Linked DNA regions of Alligator mississippiensis. The main gene of each other region encodes a partner of the protein of the gene in region 2 in a complex. Links are inferred from orthologs where the notes say so. Each region holds a gene or a part of one and is shown on either strand. Other genes may lie near its edges. The genes, in order: DET1, ubiquitin-conjugating enzyme E2 E2 and RLIM.

Evidence for each region.
Region 1: the proteins of ubiquitin-conjugating enzyme E2 E2 (region 2) and DET1 are in contact, whole or in part, in a cryo-EM structure (PDB 9BJZ), measured with the Homo sapiens proteins. The link is inferred for Alligator mississippiensis from reciprocal best matches to the Homo sapiens genes UBE2E2 and DET1. Residues at the interface, in NP_001357154.1 of Homo sapiens: Ala77, Gly78, Pro79, Lys80, Gly81, Arg88, Ser89, Thr90, Gly101, Val103, Phe105, Phe123, Arg124, Thr125, Arg126, Ser134, Gln135, Gly136, Gln194, Trp195, Arg198, Tyr199, Ala200, Thr201; in NP_001137546.1 of Homo sapiens: Arg258, Phe259, Tyr261, Asp264, Thr267, Val268, Phe272, Glu274, Asp289, Pro290, Phe291, Ile292, His297, Arg298, Leu300, Val301, Trp304, Arg305, Phe319, Phe320, Gln321, Phe323, Asp324, Arg327.
Region 3: the proteins of ubiquitin-conjugating enzyme E2 E2 (region 2) and RLIM are in contact, whole or in part, in a crystal structure (PDB 6W9A), measured with the Homo sapiens proteins. The link is inferred for Alligator mississippiensis from reciprocal best matches to the Homo sapiens genes UBE2E2 and RLIM. Residues at the interface, in NP_001357154.1 of Homo sapiens: Lys52, Thr55, Lys58, Arg59, Lys62, Pro112, Asp113, Pro115, Phe116, Ile142, Asn146, Trp147, Ser148, Pro149, Ala150, Leu151, Thr152; in NP_057204.2 of Homo sapiens: Ser571, Val572, Cys573, Ile574, Thr575, Cys596, Arg599, Trp600, Pro608, Ile609, Arg611.

What each region holds. Positions count from the first base shown.
Region 1 is NC_081834.1:14,197,065-14,205,203, reverse strand, and holds the start of DET1 (DET1 homolog), read left to right. Parts: upstream 1-4,886; 5' UTR 4,887-4,974; coding exon 4,975-6,057; intron 6,058-8,139. UniProt on the Homo sapiens protein: Component of the E3 ubiquitin ligase DCX DET1-COP1 complex, which is required for ubiquitination and subsequent degradation of target proteins. The complex is involved in JUN ubiquitination and degradation.
Region 2 is NC_081828.1:148,516,410-148,524,222, forward strand, and holds the start of ubiquitin-conjugating enzyme E2 E2, read right to left. Parts: upstream 3,241-7,813; 5' UTR 3,101-3,240; intron 2,645-3,100; exon of another isoform or gene 2,629-2,644; 5' UTR 2,547-2,628; intron 1-2,546.
Region 3 is NC_081831.1:65,171,590-65,179,297, forward strand, and holds the start of RLIM (E3 ubiquitin-protein ligase RLIM), read right to left. Parts: upstream 3,334-7,708; 5' UTR 3,209-3,333; coding exon 3,044-3,208; intron 2,045-3,043; coding exon 1,852-2,044; intron 822-1,851; coding exon 738-821; intron 1-737. UniProt on the Homo sapiens protein: E3 ubiquitin-protein ligase.

The DNA.
Region 1 (8,139 bases), on a different chromosome or scaffold from region 2:
TTGGGGATGGATGAGGGAGGGGACAGAGCCAGTGTCTGCTTGTCCTGGTAGATGTGAGGACTGAGTGTCCAAGTCTTTCCCTGAAGACACTTGGAGTTGTGGATACAAAACTTTCTAATATCAGGCCCCCAGCAGCTGTGAGAGAGGATAGAAGCTGTTGCTGAAACAATTTAACAGCAAATTCCTCTTTTGTTCCATTTTGCTCTGCCTCTCACGCTATTTTGGGAGCAAACGTGTTTGCATAAGAGACACTTTGCAGTAGTTGTTTTATTCCTGTAGATCCATATAGCACTGGCACTTTTTTTCTTCTTTTTTTTTCCTTTTTTTTTTTTTTTTGCAGCTTGCACTGTCTTTGGCAAAGGGATCTGTTGAGACAGAAGCTGCAGCTTGTCAACCTTTCAATTTGTGAGGGACGGGATGGGAGGAGAGGAGAAATGGGGTCATGAACTGTCTTTCCACCTGGCCTCCCTGTTGCAGGTGATGGAGAACAGAGTGGAAATTCTCCCCACACTTTATGAGCCATGACCTCTTTTGTTTGTCCCCCTCCCCATCATGTTGTGAGATGCAAACATGCTTCTTTATGGTCAGGAGGAAATCACGTATTGGGAAGTTGAATCCCATGAAAGACACCCCATAGAAAGGATCACAAAATTATGTCCTTCTGCTTTGAAAACCAAGAGATGATCTGCACCCCAGGGATATTGTCTCCTGAGCCAATTTTCAGCTCTGCAGTCTCTGTTTTCCACTTTTTCATTTGGGCTGTTTCTTTCTTGCGATGAGCCAAAGTTGCCACAGTAAGATCTGGCAAGTACTGCATTAAAAGCACTCGTTCAGCTCTAGGTAGAGATGACCATGTTTAATAGGACTATGCATGTAAAAAGGACAAAGAGATTCTGCTCCCCACTACATCTCCTGTGTGAGATTCCAGCCTTAGGAAAGGCCCTCTAATTTCTACATCTCTTTTTGCTATCTCTACTCCCTACCCCTCAAAAAGCAGTATTTCTGAAGGACAGGACCAAGGTGCTTCTAGAAGTAAGTGGGATCAGGCAATATACTTGTCCCTACACCAGTCAGAGTTGACTGGCTTCCCACCAATGACCACTCTGACCAATTAGTGGCCATTACCTAGAATGGAAGCTGAGGAACACAACACAAGAAATGATGCCAACAAGGCAACAGAGGAAAGCCTTGGATGGAGGAACCTCCTCTGCTATAATCCCCACTAAGGGGGAGGCTTTTTCAGATTATCAGGAACAATCAGATTTAATTGAAAAATGACAAGGAACTGGTGCAAAGCCACCTTCCTGGGGGAAGGTGAGGGATGGCTGAAACACTGCACTGCAATGCTGCAGCTTTACACCAGCTCAGGGAAAGACAGTGGTGAAAAACTGACATAGAGGTTCAGTCCCCTGTACAGATTTTCCCTCTCATTCATACATCTGTGCAAGTCAGAAGTATGTCTTCTCCTCATCTCTTGACAACACTTTTGTCATCTCTTGTCATGAATAGAAAGGGTTCCCAAAATGAATGATCCATGCTGCTGAGCTGTTACTTTTCTACCATTTTAACCTGTTGGGCTGAGAGGCCTGGTACATCTAGGTAGGAGCCAAGACTGACAATAAATCCAAGCAGAGTGGTTAATTATGAACAGCCCCCCAGCATGAGAAAAGATGTCTTACTACAATGGGAATTAGATTCTGCCCCTGTGTTGCAAGGCAAACTGTGAATCCCAGGAAAATATCAGTTCAGTTCCTTCTGGACAAGGGTTCAGATCAGAAAAGTTTTCCTTGTTGGTACCCCAGCACAGAGACCAAGGAGGCCCTAGAGATGAACTCTCTTGTGCCTTTGAAATTCCTCTTTGCTGGAGGAGCTGATGTGTGGGGAAGTAAGTGCATACTTGCTATTGCCTGCAGTGAGGGCCTGCACAGGCATCAGTCTCCAGAGCAGCTGTACTTGTCACCAGCCCAACATTCACATTGAAGATGAATAACCCACTGGGTTATGCAGTGTCCTGATAGCAAGAGTTGAGCAGTATCCACCAGGGACTGGTTCCATGTGCAGCTCAAGACATTATTTCCATCATGTGTAATTGTCAATGTGGAGGTCTGTGGTTGAATTAAACACTCAATACACAACACAGATGTTGCTGAGACTCCTGGTGAGATGAGACAGAGAATTTCTAAATACTGAAGAAAAGCAGGGGCAAGATTGTCAGGCTGATGATGGTTCAGGCCCCCGCCCCCCCCCTCCCCCCTGCTGTGGGCCTGGATGAGGAGGCCAGTCCATGTGATTTCCTTCTTAGAATGAGACCTGCCTCCATAGCACAGATATGGTGAGCTTGGTCATCACAGGATGTGAAGGTGGCATTGCATTGGGTTCATTGGAAAGTCAGGTTGGAAGGGACCTCAAGCGGTGACATCCAGCCCAGCCCCCTGCTTAAGCAAACTGGCCCAGCCAAGGGTCTGTCCAGCCTGGCCTTGGAAACATTCAGGGATGGAGGTTCGACAACATTTCTAGGCTGATCAGAAGTGGGTGGGGACAATCCCTCTTTGATTCCTGCTCCACCTAAGATTTAAAACCAACTACCTGGGAGGGAGAGCAGCACATTTCTATTCAGTCAGTGCTGAGAGTCCGTTGACTTCATGCCTTATTGTCATCTCCTGAATTTCTGCTAATTTTTCTCCACTCCACAGCTGGTTACGACCCTCTCTCCTTTTTAATGGTCTAGATGTTCCACTATGCACACTATCCTTTCTTTTGCAGTGTTGCTGTCTGCCAGCACTTCCTGGGAATGATTGTGTAACAGTGAGGTTGTTGCTGTGATGGTCCAGAAATGTGAGAGGCAGGGATTTCTTAGGGCAATATCTTTTATTGGACCGACTATGTAGTACTCTGAAGTTCTCATAGTTGTGTTGCATACACGGAGTTGTGTGTGTTACCTAGAGGACTGCAGCTGATGAGTCCCCTTAGAATGATGTTATGTTCCTTGCAAAGGCTTAAGAATATGTCACTGTTGTTCCAAATTTCTTCTGCATAGTTGTGCTGTATATAGTTGTGTATGACTGCGTTTCTTGCACAGAATCTGCAATCCTCCAGGTATGGCCTGAAATCTTGTGGTTGCCACAGGAAACACTACAATGACACATTGAAAGCAGACCTCAAGAAAACAGATGCAATGTCAAAACCTGGGAGGAGTTGGCTACCAACCAACTCCAGTGGCGCCGCAACCTCAACCAAGCAGCAGCTTGTTTTGAGGTAAAGCATCTCATCCTTGAAGCAGAGAAGAGAGAATGGAGGAAGGAAAAGGAGAGAAATCCTGGCCTGTGGCCTACTCTCCCCTGCAAAAAGATCTTCACCTTCTGTGGACAGGTCTGTGGCTCAAGGTTTGGACTCTTAGGTCACCTCAAGACTCATCAGTGAGTTGTGGTAGGGAACATCCTCCAATTGAGGGGTTGCTGCTACCAACACATAGGAACATAACATCAGGCCAAGGTGACTCATAGATTAAATAGATTTTTAGGGTCAGAAGGGACCTCAGTACAGTAGATCATCAAGTCCGACCCCCTGCCCTGGGCAGGAAAGAGCGCTGGGGTCAGATGACTCCAGCCAGGTGCTTCTCCAGTCTCCTCTTAAAGACCTCCAAGGTAGGGGAGACTCACCATCTGCAATCCTCCAGCCAACATACACAACTTCACATGTGCAACTCTGGAGTACAACACAGTTGGTCCAATAAAAGATATCACCCTAAGAAACCCTTGCCTTCCTCAGAATGGCTCTTTCACAGCCCGGCAGCCCATTTTCAGCTCTCGATAAAACCCTGAACTCAGGCACAATCGCATGAACCCAGGTGTAGAAATGACTGATGAGGAAGTCCCAGAGACCCATGGAGGCACTCAAGGAGGTGAGAGTTTATTCTAGAAATTGGAACAAGAGACATGCAGGGGGTTGTAACAAACAAAAACATTCTTCATTTGGAGGCAAGTCATCAGGGGAAAGTGCTGACAGCAAACCCCAAAGTCAGTTCAGACTCCCTGAAAGTGACTTGGGCTTGGCGTATGCTACATCAATTATTTGATCTAATAAAATAATTCATAGATTTCATAGACATTAGGGATAGAAGGGGCTTTGAGAGATCATTTGGTGCAGCCCCCTGCCCAAGGGGCAGGAAGTCAGCTGGGGTCAGATCACCCCATCAAGACAATCAATCATCCAGGCATTTCTTAAATTATTGATCTAATAAAATTATTTGATTTGACAATTATTTGATCTAAGAAAATAAAATAAGATAAAAATTACCCAACAAAACTTGTCTGTCAACTATGACTGTCCATTTCTGAACACTTTGATCACACAAGGGTTGACACGATGCTACAACTGACTTGGCATAGGCTGCATCCATGAGCCGCCTCAACCATTATTTGATCTAATCCAATAAAATAAGAAAAGAAAATAAGAAAAATGAGTTGGTTTAATAGAAGAGATCGTACTGATCCAAAGAAACCTGTCTGTCAACCATGACTGTCCATTTCTGAACACTTTGATCACACAAGGGTTGACACGATGCTACAACTGACTTGGCATAGGCGGCACCCATGAGCATTATTTGATCTAATCCAATAGAGCAAGAAAAATGAGTGGATCTAATAAAAGAGATCGCATTGGCCCAAAGAAACGTGTCTGTCAACCACGACTGCATTCCTGAACACCTTGAAGGGTTGACACGATGCGAGCATCCCCGCACTCACCAACAGCCCTCAGCGCCGCCTCCGCCCGCCAGGGGCCGCTGCTGCCGCAGAGCGCGAGGGGACACTCTACCCTGCCCATCCCCCCTGCGCGCCGCGTCCTCTATGGTCTCGGGGGGTCACTTCCGGGCCGCTCTGGCCCTGCGCAGTCGTTCGCAGCGGCGCCGTGGCGGAAAGATGGCGGCCGCCATGGCGTGAGGGGCCGCGGGAGCCGGGCCGGGCCGGGCCCCGCATGGAGGTCGAGGCGCCGACGCTGCGGCCGCGCCGCATCCAGAACCAGAACGTGATCCACCGGCTGGAGCGGCGGCGCCTGAGCTCGGGCCGCGCGGGGACGCACTGGCACCAGGTGCGCGTCTTCCACCAGAACGTCTTCCCCAACTTCACGGTGGTGAACGTGGAGAAGCCGCCCTGCTTCCTGCGCAAGTTCTCGCCCGACGGCCGCTACTTCATCGCCTTCTCGTCCGACCAGACCTCGCTGGAGATCTACGAGTACCAGGGCTGCCAGGCGGCCGAGGACCTGCTGCAGGGCTACGAGGGCGAGATCCTGGCCAACGGCAACGACCAGCGCTCGGTCAACCTGCGCGGGCGGCTCTTCGAGCGCTTCTTCGTGCTGCTGCACATCACCAACGTGGCGTCCAACGGCGAGCACCTGAACCGCGAGTGCAGCCTCTTCACGGACGACTGCCGCTACGTCATCGTGGGCTCGGCCGCCTACCTGCCCGAGGAGCCGCACCCGCCCTTCTTCGAGGTGTACCGCAACAGCGAGTCGGTGACGCCCAACCCCCGGTCGCCCTTGGAGGATTATTCCCTGCACATCATCGACCTGCACACAGGCCGGCTGTGTGACACGAGGACCTTCAAGTGCGACAAGGTCATCCTGTCTCACAACCAGGGGCTCTACCTCTACAAGAACATCCTGGCCATCCTCTCCGTGCAGCAGCAGACCATCCACGTCTTTCAGGTGACGCCCGAGGGGACCTTCATCGACGTGCGGACCATCGGGCGCTTCTGCTACGAGGACGATCTCCTGACTCTGTCGGCCGTGTATCCGGAGGTGCAGCGGGACACGCAGACGGGGATGGCGAACCCCTACAAAGAACCCTTCATCAACTCGCTGAAGCACCGGCTCTTGGTTTACCTGTGGAGGAGAGCGGAGCAGGATGGCAGCGCGATGGCCAAGAGGAGGTTCTTCCAGTACTTTGATCAGTTGAGGCAGCTCCGCATGTGGAAGATGCAGCTGTTAGATGAGAACCACCTGTTTATCAAATATACGAGTGAAGATGTGGTCACCTTGCGGGTGACAGACCCCTCCCAGGTAGGGCCCGTCCTCTCAACTGGGCAGTTACAAAAATAAAAACTGTCGGCTGCATTTCTGGTCCAAACGCTTGTTTCAGACTGAGTGGTAAAAAGGGAGGCTTGATTAGGGATAATTACGTAACTTGGATCCTCTTCTTGAAGATATTGAATGGTGCCTTTGGTATTTAATCACCGTGGTATTTCTTGCTGTTCATGATCTCTCAGATGCCGTGTAGACATTAGAAAAGCGTGCCGTTCATTATTCCTATTTCCCAGCAAACTGAGATCGTTCTGTGTTCTGCTTTGGGCGCGTTGTCTAGTTTGTTGTCACATTGTGGTAGCATTAGAGGTTTTAATCTGTATTGTGGTCTTACTATTTTGGGTATTTTAACTACCCAAAATGAAAGGATCTATACTGTGAACAATGGTTTTAGTTTTAAATGTACCAAATGATGAGACTGCTATTTTCCTTTCACAGACCCCTCTACCCTTTAAAATTCTTGGTTAAGAATTACTTCATGCCAGTCATCCGAAAAATAAATAAATTAATGACATCCATTGCAGCCCTAAATACTGCACCTTCTTTCCACCATGGTATCTACACCTTTTGGTATCCAATCCCTGTTTCTGCTGCCAAAACTGTACATGTAGTTTGTCTTTAAAAATAGCTTCTTGTATCAGTCTCTTCAGTCCTCAGATAATCTTATTCTTGCCCCCTCTCCCATTCCCACCAGTTTGTTTCTTCTAAGGCAATGCCAGAACTGAACAGTGGTTCAGAGGCAGTAATGCAAAGTAATATAACAAATAGACCATTTGAGAGGTCTACCACAATTTAGCCCTGCACCCTCCTGGAGTGCTGCTCTGACCCCTTCCCCTGCCTGATCTGCTGCTCTGCTTTCTTTTCTCTGACCTGTGCTCCCTGCTGGACCTGCTGCTCTGCTTTCTGCTCCCTGCCCTAGCTGCCCCTTTGCTGCCTGTCTTCTTGGTCTGTGGCATGCCACATATAGAGGCTGCCTTGTACCCTTTGTAGCACACATGGCACACTTTTGCCATTCCTGGAATAGACTATTAACTTTCTTACTCTGTGATGTACTTCTGCACATACCACCCCACGCTTTTTTTTAGCTTCCATAGTCTGACTCCACCCAATGTACTGCCAACTACAGTTTGTAACTCGTGGACTATTTACTGACCTGGAAGTCGTTTTAGCAAAGAAATAAGCTTGTCACTAAGCTTCGGCTAATCTCTGTGGTACCCACAAAACATCCCCCCACACTTTTACCTATCATTTCTGTCCCCGTGTCCCCCCCCCGTCTTTGTTTCAATCCATTTGAAGCCAATTCAAGATTACTTAAAAAAAAGACTAAATGACATAATTCCCTTCTCTTTCTTATTTTTAATTCCGATACATTAAAAGAAATGTAAGGATTCTGGCAAGACTTCCTTACAAATATTTCATGCTGCTTATTGTTCACTGTTTTGTTTTCTGTGGAAGTTTAGTGGTAGTTTCCCCCTTGATCTTTATGTTGTTCATTTACTAGGACTAGAAGCTATCGTGAAGGGATAGTGGTTGTCTGTATGCCATATTAATCAGTTGCGGGGTTGCAACTAATGGTGTGCACAGTGGTTTTAACTGTTGAGTTCTTGAGGGCTGAGTTTGTTTTGCAGATGCAATGTTTGAAGTATTTACCAGATATGGTGTCATGTATTCTAGGGATATACCCAGACAGGGAGTCTTTGACTAAATGATTCACAGTGAGGTGCTCCTGAGTCTCTTCTACTAGTCCAGGAGTTTTGAGGATGTTGGTGACCCAAAAGAACTTATGCTGCCCTGGCTAGGTGAATGCTATGGACTCTCTTGGATTGATCTTCCTTGGTTCCCCAGGCATTTGTGACTGGGTTGGGTCACAACCCAGTCACAAATGCCTGGGGAACCAGGCCTCTCAGACTTCATAGCTGATTCAGACTGGGGCTGGTTTGCAGTGTTAGATGCAGGTAGAACACTAGACTGTTCCTTCAGGAGGTGCAGTCAGTTTCTTATTTCTTTCTGGGTAAATTCTGGCTGTCCAATCACTTGAGCTGCTGAGGTAACCAGCTGAGT
Region 2 (7,813 bases):
ATTGAAAGTGAACTGTTTTCCTTTTCTAGAGATGGTACTTCTAAACTAGGGGTTAAGCATATTGGCGGAATTAACGTAAGGGAATTTGTGTGCCGAAGCCTGTCCTTTGAGCACAGGACTGACTCGTCATCATAAAAAACTGTCAAAGAACAATAAGCATTTAGAAATCTAATTTTATTATATTTGATATATTTCATGTATCCAATTCTCACAGTATTTCCACACTTCTTTTGATAGTGAGCTATTTCCATTTCTTTCTTCACTTTCATCAATGGAACTTAAAATACCAACAGTTGAAGAAAAATAAAGCACAACCGTTAGAGCTGTCATCCCTTTCAAAGCTGTCATTAGTGAGGGCTGCGCCTCACCCCTTCTAGGAGATTGCCAGCTGTAGTGGCAAAAAGATTTAGATGAGTTTATTAAAAATCTGAACCACCACTGGAAAGCTTTTTTACCTCCCAGTTTATAATCTAAATTGTACCAAAATGACATGACCATGTTCTTCTATATTTATTATTATTCTTCCTTTTTTTAAAAACTACCTTTGTTGCAGACAAGGCCAAATTTTTAGGCCACGGATATTGTAACTTTATCCTTTTAAACTACATAAAGAGATCATGCACTTATTACAGAAAAATACGTCTCAATTATTTTATGCTGCCATTGTCCCCCAAAGGAGAAAGGATTTCAGGCTCTTTGACAGACAATGTAAGAATCGCACAATAGTCTGCACATACAACTCACAAGAACTTTATTGAAAGCTCCTAACTAAACATTAATGTACCACTGTAATAAAAGCCTGGCATCTCCCACACAGGTATAGAAAGAGAGGACAGAGAAAGAAAAAGGAACACTGTTTGGATTATAGGGAGAAAAAACATTTAAAAAAAGAAGATTAATGCTTCTTGTATAAAAAAGAATTTACTCCTACTATTCAGTTAGGAGCCTTATCAAAATCAAAAATGGTCAAAGAACACCTACTTTGGAGACCATTATTTAAGCAATGAAGGGCCAATTTTGTATGTCATTATTCATGGGATTAAATCCAATTGACTTCAGTATGAATGAAATCTCTGCATAATTTACAAGATTATATATCAAAGTAACAGGAACTTTGGAGGGATAGGATGGTTCAAGAACCTTTAAAGGGAGTAAGATACTGAGAGGTAGTGATGAAGAATGCTAGAAGAGATTACCCTAATTTATCATCCGCTACTTTGTTTTGATTATGAAAACTAGTACCCAAAACAGCCTTGGTGGTGCATTTGAGAATGTAAAGCAAGGCAGTATTTTATTGCTGGAAGTTAAGAATGAGCAATTCTTCTGAAAAAACAACTTTTCCCTACATCAGAGACATAATAATGTCTTTTATGTAATTCACAATTTAACACAGGTTAATCTTTAGGTATTTACATCCCAGTTGTCAAATCTTAAGGGAAAGAAACAGAAGATTTAGAGATGATAAACACAAAGCAGCTGTATGCTGACAGTTTCAAGACTGTTACAGTTATTAAAGGCACATTTTGACTTTGTAGCCATATGTACTATTTTACTTTATTTTCAGATGGAGGTAGAATATAATACAATTTTTTCTTAAAGCATCTGGGATAGCCTTTATTTAGACACTGATCTTTCATTAAGACATCTAATTGTAAAGAGAGGGCATTCTCCATACAATGTACCCGTTCTGCATAAATGCTGGCCAAAAAGTCAGCAATGTGTTTAATAAAGACTCTTTATACCTAATGCCTCCTGTGAACGATTCTCCTATCAAACGTCTGTATTCACTTTGTAAGTTCAAGTTACTACCCAACAGATAAACACTGTAACAGTAGCCCAAAGCATATAATTACTGTAAGTGGTAATGCCAGCTTTTACAACAAGGAAATATTTAAATCTCTCATTTGACATCTGGCTATTTTCTCACCTCTCTTCCCCTTTCCCCTTCTACACAGACACAAATATTCAAATAAAGAAAGTGATGTTAAGTGGTTGGAAGTTCAATTTAACCATGAGAAGGAGATTTAAAAGGGTTGGTGGAGTCAAACTTTTGAAACATGGGCACAACTATGAAGAAAAAACAGCAAGACAACAGGTTCAGGGGAACAACAACAGGGGGATGGTGTGGTGGGGAAACATTTCAGTGAAAAAAAAAAAAAAGAGACAGATTCTTGTGTAAGTATTAACAAACACATCCTTATGCCATACAAACACACAGAGGTCTTTTAGCCACCTATTCCTAAATCTGCCCCAAGCAGTAACAAACTCTAAAACAACCTCCCACTATGTACCACCATGTCCGCACTGGATTCCCTATTTCCCATCCAGAAAGGGGAACCTCATGCTCCCCTCGTGTCAAAAGAAGGGGGTGAAGATAAAAAAAAATGAAGGTAATAAGAGACCTGGCGCCAAACTCCCTCGACAAAATTTAAGTGACAAAGCGCCCAAAAGCAAACACTTCTTCCATTTCTAAATACCGTGTCCTTTCAAACAGACAAAAATAAAGTAAAATAAAATAAAATGAAATAAGCCCCCACCGCCATCACCAAGGGTAAGAAGAGATCCTGGCAACATGCGGCTGGGTCCCAGGGGCATGCGATGATGTCTCTCTGAAGCGGCCTTAATTTCCTATAAGCAAAGATAAATGGAACATTTCTGCCGGTCCACGAGCAGCCGCCGCCGCCTCACTTCATCTTCATTAGAAACCGTAAAGGGCAAAAAAAGATCAAAACATTACGGGGGAGAGAGAGGACCGGGAGGAGACCAGGGTTGAGTCCGCCAGGCCGGGGGCTGCGGGAGGGACAAACCCTCCGGTGCTGATGCGGCTCGGGACTGACACCAACCCCCGGGGGAGGGGGCAAGGACACGGGAAAGGGGGGACACATACGGGGGGTGGGGATGGACACACACACGAACGCAACACCGTCGGAGAGGACACGGACACGGACACCCACGTGCCGGGGGGGGACCCCCCACATGGCGGCCCCGCCCCGCCCCCGCGAGATGGAGGCGCGGGGGAGGGGCGGCCGGGCTGGGCCGGGCCGGGCCGGGCTCCGGGGGCAGCGATGGGGCTGGGGGGGGAGAGGGGAGTCCCAGTTACCTGCGGGTCTGGCTCCGGCTCCGGCCGCTCCCCGAGGCGCGAGCCCGCCCCGCGCTGCCCCCGCGGCCGCTCCGGCTCCGGCTCCGGCTCCGGCTCCGGCTCCTGCCGCCGCCGCCGCCGCCCGAGGAGACGCGGAGCCGCCGCGCGCGCCCCCGACGCCCAACGAGGAGGGGGGAGGGGCGGCGGACGGGTGCTCGAGGACGCGCGTGCGCGCTCACGGCAGCCCGGCGCGCGCGCACGCACGGGGGGGGGGCGGGGGGAGGAAAAGTGACAAGCGAGCGGGGCCGCGGGGGAGGGGGGAGCGCGCCTTAAAGGGGAACGCACACGCCGCGCCTCCCCCAACAGCCCCAGTCACCCGGCTGCGGGGTGCTGCCCCCAGCATGGGCGGGCTGGTCTGCCCTGTGCCCCCATGCACCCTCTCAGCCCTCGCTCCTGCCCCGGCTACACAAAAACTCCTCGGGCCGGTGGCCCCTTGGGGGAGCCCCGGGTGCTCCTCGCTCTCCCGCCGGCCTCCCCCCCCTCTCACTCACTCCTGAATCACCCCCCGCCCCGGGAATGGGCTCCCCCCAGCTGGGCCTGGGGTTTGCACCAGCGGCATCACTGCTACTATAGTCACTAGGATCATCATCATTGTCATCAGTCACAGTCCTGATAATAACATTGATCGTGTCTTGACTGAACCCAGCCTCACCCACATAGAGACCCTGGGGAACCATCTGCCCCTCCTTGCCCCACACCACTGGTGGTTTTTTGGCATTTTGGTCTCTTGAAAGAACTGGGCTAGGCCAACTGCAAAGGCCATTGGAGAGAGGTCGTTTAGCCTTGCTGGGTCTGCGGCCAAGGCCGGTGCTGGAACAGCCGTTCAAAAAACACGAGGGAAAAGAGCGTCGTGGGCATGTCTCGACATTATGAGTAACCTTCATCCTGGGGGAGTTTTGCCACCGACTTTGAAAGGGCCAGGATTTTACTTGTCTTACAATTGTTAACAAAACCTGGAATACAGTGACGGGAGGCAGGCCAGAGACGCACTGTATGGGCTAACTAAGGAAGACGTACAAGCTTTTGTGAATTGCAGCGCCCTTCATCTGAGGGCAGCCTCTGCTGAAGTGAGCGTCGGAGCTCCTGCTCCACAAGCATCTTCCGTAGTTTGCCCACAAGGTCTATGCCCTGCCTTCTGCACCACTCACTGTATTCCAGGTTTTGTTCACGATCGTAAGACTGGACCCTAGACAAGGAAAATCGTGGCCCTTTTGAAATCAGTAGCAAAACTCCCCTGATGAATTTCTCTCCTAATGCTGAGATATGCCCGTTACAGCATGTTCTCTTATGTGTGTTTTAAATGACTGTTCAATCGTTGGACACACAGTTACCAAATTTGGTTTTGTAGTATAAGAGCTTATAGCTTTCAGAAATACAGACACTGCCATTAAAGATTACCTAACACAGAGACCCCTGATCTGAGCGTGTTTTAGGTATATGGTGCAGTGGACTGTACTCATGCACATACTGACTGCACCATATCTAGACTCCTGGTGGCCCCGGACAAACTTTTAGTATCGGGCCCCCCTTTGCAAGAGATGATGATAATAAACAGACAACGGGGGGAAAAAAACATTTTCAGGCCTCCTTTCTGTCCAGTCCCAGGGCAGCCTGTTTCTGTTGTTAATGAATATTATCTACATTGAATTTGGGTAAGTGCATGCTCTAGGTAAGGACATAGCTATTTTTTTTTCTTTTCTGAGTTTATGGCTTGAATAGAGTCCATTGCATTACATAAAGCACACTTCTGTTAAGATCTCTTGATTTAACAATGCCTTGGATTAGGGCAGGTATCTCAATTAACATCTATAAAGATACCTCAGCCTGGACTTCATTTAAGAATAGTTCATTTAGAAAACATTCAGATAAATGTGTATTACCAGGGGGATTCAGCAGCACTGACCCCTGCTCCCAACACACACACACACACACTCACTCTCTCTCTCTCTCTCCTTCTACAGCAAGTCAAGAGGATTTCCATCCTCTTCTTTGTAGACTTAAAAGAGCCCTAGAAATCAAGTAAGGCCAAAGTATCAAGCACACTAAGTCAAGAAATTAAAGAGTTAAGGGTTCCACTGCACTTCTAAATTGTGTTCTTTGTGTGTGCATGTAGTCTTTTCTATTCTGATTTTTCTTTTTTAGTAATTTTAGCATTGTTGTTTATGCAGTTAAATGTCTACAGATTATTAACTGTGCCCAATTGTTTATGTTTGCATTTCCAAGCTTGTGTTTGATATCTCAACCTTAATAGTTGATCCATCTCAGATCTTCTCAGTGCAAGTGTATCTATTTTGTTTTCACCTTACTCTGCTATCCAGGAGCTATATCAGCTATACACCCCCCACCACACACACACAACTTGAGTAGTCCCATGGCTTTGGCCTCAAGGGTTCTGTGTCATCTATGCCCCTTTTTGCCTACCTGTGCCTGCTATGCTTAAAAGGGAGGTGCAAGAGCCTCTGTGGTAGTGCTGTGCTAACCAAAGATTCCTCCTCCAGTGCTGGCTATGTCATTTCTTTTTGCACTGGTGGAGTACCATAAAGTAGGCAGAATAGACTAGAGGACCTGGCCTGCCACATATCCTGTACTTCCCCTAACGATACTTATCTTTCTCCCCATTTCCAAGTAATTTTTTTCTTTATGCTGTTTCCAAACGTGTCTACCTTCCCTGTGATCTTGTTTTGCTTTTGTTGCCACTTGGCTGATCCCTACTCCGTTTGCTGGCACTTGTAAAATGAAATTTGCAAGACTCCTGATCTCTGAAGCACTGAGACACAGCATTTCAGTGACTCAGAGATCAAGATTCTTATTCATTTTACTTTATAGCTGCCAGCATGCTCTACAGCATATAGAATAGAGTGCTGTGGAGCAGCAGGGAGAGATCTAGTGGAAAGACCTACAATAGAAAACATGTTACATATTCAGTTTAATTGCATGAATTGTGATTGCTAAAATATAACATCCTAAATCAGAGCAGTCATGACTGAATTCTAAATACTGGCCCTAAGCCTTAATGGACAACTACAGTAAGAAGAAAAATTGTTATTTCCCTAGTACCTTGACAGAAACTATTTTAAGCAAAGAATTTTCCTAACATCCTAAAGGAAACTGATTTTATGAGCATAGAGACAAGTTATTACTAGCTTGGCTTCTTTATTTGATCTGCAGCAGTGTAAAAGCTCCCAAAGTATAAGGATGTATTTGTTCATCTCAATTTGTTCAAGCCATTAAACATGAAAATAGATTCAAGTCCCATGCAAACAACCACAGACCTCTCTCCTTCTACTATCATCTATAAAATCAGGAAACTTCAGCTTCTCCTCCTCTCCTTTGCTAGTGAAGCAGCTTCCACTAACTATCATTCAGTTGGAACCAAAAGAAAAAACTAGAACAATAACAATGTGGAATCAGCGAGCCTCGCAGTTCTCAAGCACACTGCTATCCAGGATTCAAAAGAATAAAGATAAAACATATTAAGTCTGGGTGGGAGGGAAGTAATAACTTGCTTCCGTGTCCTTAATAAAAGCCTGACTTTCTTCAGGGTAGGAAATAAATCACTGCTTAGTGTCATGAATGGAGGCTTGTTTTATGTGCTAGTTTAAAGCCCAACTTAATATAATTGCAGAGGATAATACCATGATCGGTTAAAGACAGAAATTGCTAATAACTGAATCCCAAGACCAAGCTACTGTTTTTAGGAATGTATTGCTCTTGTACGTTCTGCAGGGATCAACAAACAGACACAAAAAACTGCAAACCCAAAATAAAACTTACTATTTCCAAAGGTATTCTAAAACACTGGCCTGCAAATTACACACATTTTCTATCTACTTCACTGTCCTATTGAGGCAGTAAGACCTCGTGAGGTGAGGGTAAAAAAAATAAGTCAGTAATTTACTTCTTTTCTTTTCCCAATTCCCCTTCTTTTGCTATGGCTTCATAACCTTTAAAGTCACATGATCGAAGCTTGGGTTTCTGATCAAAGATGGATAAAATACAGAAGATCTGTTAATCTCCTCTGTATGTAGGACTACATCCTATTGGGGAAGCTTAACAGATATTTAGCTGTGTTTGAAAAAATAGCATATACAAATCAGGAGGTTGGAGAGGACAAGGGTTAAACAAGTTATGCATGGTTGAGAAGGAAGTTGATACAAAAGGAAGAAACTCTAAGCCAGTGGTGTTCACCTTTTAGCCTGAAGCTGAATATATTTTTAAAACATCAATTGACCATAATCAAGATTTTGAAGCAGATTGTCTGCTCTCTGCAAAGGAAATGGAATTGACCCACACACTCTCTGCTGGGGATCCCCGCAGTTAGAAGGAAGTCCTCAGCCACACAGGGCCACTATAGCTAGATCTTAAGCTTTCTGGATGCAGGCTGCAAACCCTAACACAAATACATGATGAAGGCCCTGGTGGGTGAGGGGTGTTCAAGAAGAGGCAAAAGGCTTGAGTTTGGTTCTTAATATACTCAGATTATTCCCACTTGTTGATTGGGACCATAACTATTTTGTGTAAATTAGGGTGGCCACCAGCTAGAGTCCAGTAGAGAATGAAAAAACTGAGTGCTGATTCTGAGTCCTCCACTTGTTTTGTCCTGGACTATCCTTGGTGGATGTAGAGGGGAGTGGAACATTTCTTTGCTTGATGCTCCCATAAACCTAGATCTTT
Region 3 (7,708 bases), on a different chromosome or scaffold from region 2:
TAGAATAGACTGAGCCAGAGGTGGTTCAAGCACCTACTTTGAATGCCTTCAAGAGACATTTGGATGTTTATCTTGCTGGGATCCTATGATCCCTAGGGCGGGGGGCTGGACTCTATAATCTTCCAAGGTCCCTTCCAGCTCTAATATCTATGAAATCTATGATACCTAGTGAGATGAGCTGGCTAGAAAACAAACAAACAAACAAGTCACAGGCTCTAATGCAGCAGTTCCCAAACTGTGGGTCACGATCCCAAATGGAGTCACAACATCAGCAGATGGGGTGGAGGGCTGTGGCTTGGAGTGAGAGGCTAAGGAAATAGGGTCATGCTGAGAAAATGCAGTCATGCTGAGGAGAAGTTTGGGAAGCACTGCTCTAATGGGAACTGTGTGTATTTCTCCTTTGTAGAGGGATAACAAAAGCAAAAGGAGTGAAGGTGGGAAAACAAGGGACTTATGGGTATATCTCAGAAGGGAACAGAATGCAAAGAAATTTGAACAAAAAAAAAAGTCAACTAAAGAAACGTAGAAGAAATCTTATTGTGGCGCTAGTAATAGATGCCATACTTGAAATCTGTCCAAAACTGATCTTTGCAGGTTGTGTCAAATAGAACGTTCACTTAATTTTTAAACAAAGCTCACCTTGCACCTGCCTAGGCTTAACTTGTTCCACTCCTGCACTCAAGTTAAGGTCCGTATTAGGTGCTAAAGTTAAGAGTTTTCACAAATACTGTATATACCTCTATTCTCATCACTGTTTTGCTGTGGTGGACCTTCTTTAATTTGGTGTAGCCTTCTCAGCAACTCTTCTTCAGTAATTTCACCTTAAGAAACAAAGAAAGATTTCCCAATATATATGTATGTCCAAATAATCTCTATAAGGAAGGAATTATGTACATCTTAAACAGTCTTAAGACTGCAGTTCAGAGAGATTGTGAATATTCTTTTAACAAAAAGCTAACTGCTTATAAATATTCTTCACTGACTTCTAGAAATTTAGCCAGAGGGCAGCTTGTGGAACCCCCCAAAGCATCCTTGCTCACAGGTAAGACCAGCTACAACTGCAGCATCCAAAATACAGTTACCAACTATTTAGAACAAAATTGAGAAAAGCTTTTTCCTGTAATCTCTAAGAAAAATCTCATCAGTCTTCTCCATTCCAAACCAATTAAGATTCTGCCTATATGAGACAACTATAAGAGGTATTACTTTTAACTGATTTATTACCAACATGTGTTGGCATATTTTTCTTGGACTGGCTCATTTCAAATTTAGCTTACCTCTATTAGGAATGCATTAAAAAAGCCATCTTGCAAGTTTTAATAGCAATTCAGGTAAACCAGTGCAAGCTCCTGGATGGACAAACTTATTTAATCTTTTCAAGTGGCTTATTTTTGTTTCTCCAAGATGATTTCTAACAAGAATAAGCTAAACTGAAATACACTCCTCACAAAGGCCATCACCAGTTTAGCTAGTTTGCCATTAAAATCTGTACTCTTCATTAAGCTGGTGCAACCTTCTCCCATACACAAGGCCAATACCAGAACAGGCCTCAGACAAACTTTGGATGTCCTTTTTTAAGCTGAGTAAACATAAACAAAGCAAATAAACTCTGCTTCTGTTAACTCAATTTCATCCTAGTTAGCGCTAAATTATATGTATTGCCTTTCTAGAAAAGACATACTGTACGTTCAGATAAGTAGAGAGCTACTCTCTTACGCTGGCATACAATTGTAGTTGGAAGAATACCGGGGGGGGGAATTTAATGGCACAGCAGCAAGAAAAAAAAACAGGTCATTAAAATTAGTCTGGTAACATTAAAACTTTAATATACAAATATGTATTCTGATATACCTGGAGTTCCTAGCAAATTGTTATCCCTCATAAGCCTGTACTCCTCGTCACTCAGGTTATTGACAAACTGATAGAAAGCTTCTTCCCGATCTAATCGATCCAGCTGACTACGACGCTGAGCTTCTGATTGATCAATATTTCCTTTATCATTAGAATCTGAGCTTTCCATGTTGATGAAAGAGTGGAAGAGAATCTGAAAAAAGAAAAACAATATTTTTAAACCATGGGTACATGTAAGTTATGGTAACCTATAAAACTTAATGATACTTTTAGAGGAATGATTTACTTGTTCCTGATCTGGACATTCACTTAAACTGAGCATCTTAAACATAAAACATGGAATTTTATTTTTCTAGAAGTCCCAGTTATGAGGATATCCTGTATGACCACAGGGATTAGCATTTAAATTGTTTTGAAAAATCAGTCTCTCTTTTTTGGACGCAATAACGTAAGACTGTTGAACTAAAAGGGATCTCAGAAGGTCATGTAATCTAGCCTCATGCTCCCAGCAAGACCCTCCGTGACTAAACTATCCCAGGCAAGTGTCTAACTTGCTCCTAAAAATTTCTATCGATGGAGATTCCACAACTTCTAGATAGCTTGCTCCAATACTTAACTAATCGTATAGTCTGGAAGTTTCTCGTAATCTCCAACCACAATTTCTTCTGCTGCAGCCTAAAGCTATTTCTCCTAGACCCGTCTCTTACAGCAATAGAGACAAACCTATCTCCATCCTCTCTATAATTGCCCTTCAGGTATATGAAGACTATTACCAAATCCCCACTCAGTCGTCTCTTCTCCAGAGAAGAACATCAAGAAGTGCAGTACCACATAGAACTTTCAGCAGAACTGCACATCTCGACAATGAAAAGCTGCATGAAAACTATAGGCCATAACCTCAGGTCCATCCTTTTATATATTCAATGTTGCTCAGGCACGAAAGGTCTAAACCAGGGGTCAGCAACCCCTGGCACGTGTGCCAAGCATGGCACATAAGGCCATTTTGCTCAGCACGCCACCACCGGCCTGGGCTCTAGGCAGCTGCTGCCAGCCACAAAGCCCAGGCTGCTCCCAGGAGGCAGCTGGGTGGCTACAAGCTCTGCCGTGGTTGACAGCAGCTACCAAGAACCCTGGCTGGCTGCAGCCGGAAGGCTGCAAACATCTGCTCTGGGCTCCGGCATTAGCTCCATACCAGCAGGCGTACGTGTGCCTCTGAGCTGACTTTGTCCAGTGACAGAGGAGCCCAGCTCCGTGTGCCCACGTATCTGGTTCTGTGCGTATGTCTGCCTTGGTCTGGTCCTGCATCTGTGCGCGCACACACGTGTCTAGTTCTGGATGCATATATGCATGTGTCCATTCTGGGTGTGTTCTGGCTCTGTGTTTGTGCACATGGTTTTCTGTGTGCATGTGTCTGGTTCTCTCTCTGCTCTTCTTTTTCTTTCTCTCTCTCTCTCTCCTCTTCCTCTTGTCTCTTTTTTTCTCTCTCATTGCAACATGCTCAACAAAAAAGGAATACACAACAATAAAGGCAACATTTATGATTATTAAATATACTACTATGCAGCGAGTCCTGCCATATACCACCCTCCCCATTTTGTTTTTCTGACATGCCGGCACTCCGCCACCTTCCAAGGTAGACATGGTGGATTTTTTGGCACTCTGGCCAAAAAACATTGCTTACCCCTAGTCTAAATCTATTTTTCTAGCACAGGGGCAGGCAATTATTTCAGGAAGAGGGCCGCTTACTGAGTTTTGGCAAGCCATTGAGGGCCGCGTGACAGACAGCCAGGGGTAGATAAATATTTTCTAAATTTTTTTTTAGGGGCCCTGCGGGCCAGATAGAATGGCCTGGTGGGCTGCATCCAGCCCGCAAGCCACATTTTGCCCACCCCTGTTCTAGCACATACATCCTCAGAGCTGCTATTCCTTGGCAAATCACAAACCACAATTTAGAGAAGTCTAAAGGATGTATTCAGACAATCTGTAAAGGATGCAAGTTGTCACTGAATCCAACTTTACATTACACTAGAAGACAAGTTTTACAGGTTTTATTCTCCCAGAGTTATTCTTAAGGGAAGGAAGTGCCTCATGTCAGGCCTTCCAGCCAAGTAAGAGTAACATCGATCCCCCAACAGCCAGATATATTTGGCAGAAATATGGGCCAAGAAGCTGAATAAAAGCACAATACACTGAGAGTTCCAGAAAACATTTTGTCTGTGATAGCAAGACCTTAGTTTTCTCAAGAGAGGAAAAGGTTAGAAATTAATTCCAGCATCCAGTATCGAGAGTATAACTTAGATGCACTAGAAGCCAGTCTGCAACCAGTAAATTTTGATGACAAGAATTCAGAGGACAAAAAGAAACTTGTATGCCAGACATATTGCCAGCAATAATCAAGTAAATGTCTTCCTGTCTCCCTCTTACTATTTCAGTAAGACAAGTACCTTCATCACATCTTTCAACATTAGAGTAATGTCTTCATCTGATCAGTATTAAAAGCAAAGGACGAACAAAATCAGGAAACAATGGTAACCTTAAACCCTTGCAAATGCATTCAAATGAAACCTCGACAATAACTGGTTTTCCTTAATACATGCGCCTCACCATCCACCGCATAAAGTGCTAGAATCTGCAATTACTCACAGAGCTGGTTATCTAGCTAGCTTTCCATGTGGTAAAATGCTCCACTGCCACCATGAATATTCCCTCTTATTAAATAACAGCTAAAGCTATGTGAAAATATTGGAAGAAAAAAGCATTTCACTTTCTGCCTTTTGCTGGAGAACTTCCAAATAAGATGCTTTAGCAGCTGTCTAGTGCACAGAACTGACACTTTTTTTGGTTTCTCAGCACAGCTGGCAAGTCAGACACTGCCCAGTTTATGCCGGCACTTCTGCAAATAAGAAGTGTTGCGTCACCTCCAAGACCACTCTGCCTGTGTAATTTCAGTGGCTGCCAGTGCACTGCAACTCACAAAGTAACATCACCTTTAGAGCTTTAAGCACAGAAAGAAACACTATAAAATCCAGCATTCTACCACTGTATGAGGCTCAAGAACTACAAAGTCAGTCACACTATATATATTCTCTACTTTGGCTTTTAAAATGATGATTCTATAACCCTGTTTTTATTTTAGTCATCCTATTAACTAACATGCAAGTTCCTTTGCTGCCACTAACATAATACAAAGCATAGATTTTTTTCATATTTGTATTATTTAGTATTGTATTTATTTTCCAAAATGGAAGACACCCACAAATACCAATTGCATTTGCTAATACTTTCACCTCTGACAGGCAAAAGTAGCCAACAGAAGGCTCCTATATGTGTGAAGTGAAAGTTGATTTGATGTCACTCTGTTGAGAAACATAGATGCAGTCCAAAAACTCGTACCATCAAACGCATTGAAAAGTGAGAAATGTGTGCTATTCTGTACATTTTAAGTAACTGTTAATACCCTCATATATTGGGATCAGCTCATAAGGATGAGTGTGAGCTTCAAAATTCACACAAGTAATACAGAACAGGGGTTAACCTATGCTTTGTCTATTACAGTAGCTTTTTTAAGTTTGTGTAGAACTCTTGACAGTGCTAGAAAAGATTTTGTACTAAACAAATCTTGGTTAAAGAGGTTGTCAACTCGGAGACACCTAAATATGTAGGCTGCTATAGTTAAAATTAACATTTAAGTACAAAGTTGAGAAAAATACTTTTTTAGTTTTTCATTATGCATTTGACAGCTGTTACTGAATAATGAACTCCAACTCTAGAGCTAGTTTCCTCCATTTATGTGGATCTATCACACAGCAAAGGAAAGGTCGGTAGAAAAGAAAGTTTCTTATCTCTAAAACCCAATTATAAAACAAAAGGAACAAACAATATGCTGAAAGACGCATGTGATACTATAATCCCATGACAAGTACACATTCTTTCAAGAAAGACGCTGCGTTAACTATTAATGCTTCATCATTTTCATTCTGACTAAGAGCACGCTTTGATTATCCAATGGAAAACACTGGCCTTTTCCGTTTCAGAAGCCTGACCAAGAACAGTGTCCCATCAACAGAAGTGAGGTGAGACAATCATTTAATAGGCCAAGAAAGTGGACTCGAGTGTATTAAAATATATAAACACTACGGAAAACAGTCAAAGATTACTCTTAGGCAATATTTTCAACCTTATTTTTTCCCCAGCTTGCATTTTGGACTGGGTTTTCCTTCCTCAGTCCTCTTCCTTTCATTAATCCATCTTCTTACCTTTTCATCTGCACAGTTTCATGTTGGCCTAGGAAGATGTCATTACCGGAAGAAGGAACCAGTGGTGAATCTGAGCATTCAGTTAAACATAGGGCTGCCTGCTACAAATTTTTATATTGGTGTACCTACCACCACACTATACTTCACTACTGCAAACACCTGGTATTAATTCTGCACTAGTGTGGCATACCTCACTCTCAAAACAGGGTAGACACCATAGGTCTAATATAGAGGCAGCAAGTCTACATTAGGGGCTTCTGCAAGTGAAGCTCAGTGGGGAAGCTACACTGATGCATAAAAGCCAAAACGTCCAAGGCCCCACTCTAATCTCCAGATGTCTCAAAATGAGCAATTTGTCACTATATTTAATAACTGCAAGGGAAGAAGCAGCAAAGAATGACCACTTAAAGGAATAGAATAAACTTTCTACTTAGATAGCGTTCATTCCCCTGTCCTTGCTCCATTCTCTGGTACTTTTCATTTCCTTGAGGTCCTTCCTTTCCTCCATGGGATACATGGCTTCTCTCTCCAAACCCTATAATACTAGATGCCAGTTACAAAACACCAGAAGTACTACAAAGACAGCATAGCTCCTTCCTGCCTTGTCAGAATGGGATGTAGAGTGGTGGCATTCGCACAGCACTACAAACATGTTCTCATACTACAGTTTCACAAAAACAACTGCTAGACAGTTAAATCTCTGAGAGTTACAAGCCCCAGAATATGCGCTCCACTCACAATAGTCCTGAAGTGTGAAGTCTACAAATGGAAAATATTTTAAGGCTGTTGTCAATTTTTCAGCATGCTACTGTAGGGCAAAAATGACATAAGGGCAAAATATACCATGTTAGCCAATATGTTAAGGCAGGCATCATTGGTGACATCCTATTACAGGGGTGTGGCCTGCCAGGCCATTCTATCTGGCCCACAGGGCCCCTAACAATTTAGAAAATTAATATTCATCTACCCCGGCTGCCTGTCACGCAGCCCTTGATGGCTTGCCAAAACTCAGTAAGTGGCCCTGCGCCCGAAATAATTGCCCGCCCCTGTCCTATTATGTTACATATGGCTTCCAAAATATAGATGTAGCCATATTATCTACACTGCTCATATTGCTTTAAACTCCAAGTGAGATTTTGTTCTTACCTCAGTATAATACAGAATTTCCTTTCTTCCGTCAGCCAAGAGCTGTCAACAGAGGACACAAAAGACTGCAGGGGCTCATGTCTTTTAGTAGTAAGTGCAGATCTGTTGATTATAGCCAACTTTAGTTGATATATCCAGTAATAAAACTGAACATTTTTATGGAAGCACAGCAAGATGCGTCTAAAGTTCGCTGGAAACAAGAGTCTGGACAGAGACTTTACTTAAACAGGTGTATTTTTTAAGCTGCTGAACACTCAGATATATTAACTACAGTAAAAGCTTAATTGCCATTCCCACTCCAAGATTTTAGTGGTCACACAACAATCACACTCAACAAATTCCAGAACAAAAGACTAGCTATGTTTCTACCACCAGACATAAGCATAAGTACAGCAAGCTTATGCTAGCAATTAGTGAATATCCACCATTGTTCAATATTTTACTATCTACAGAAG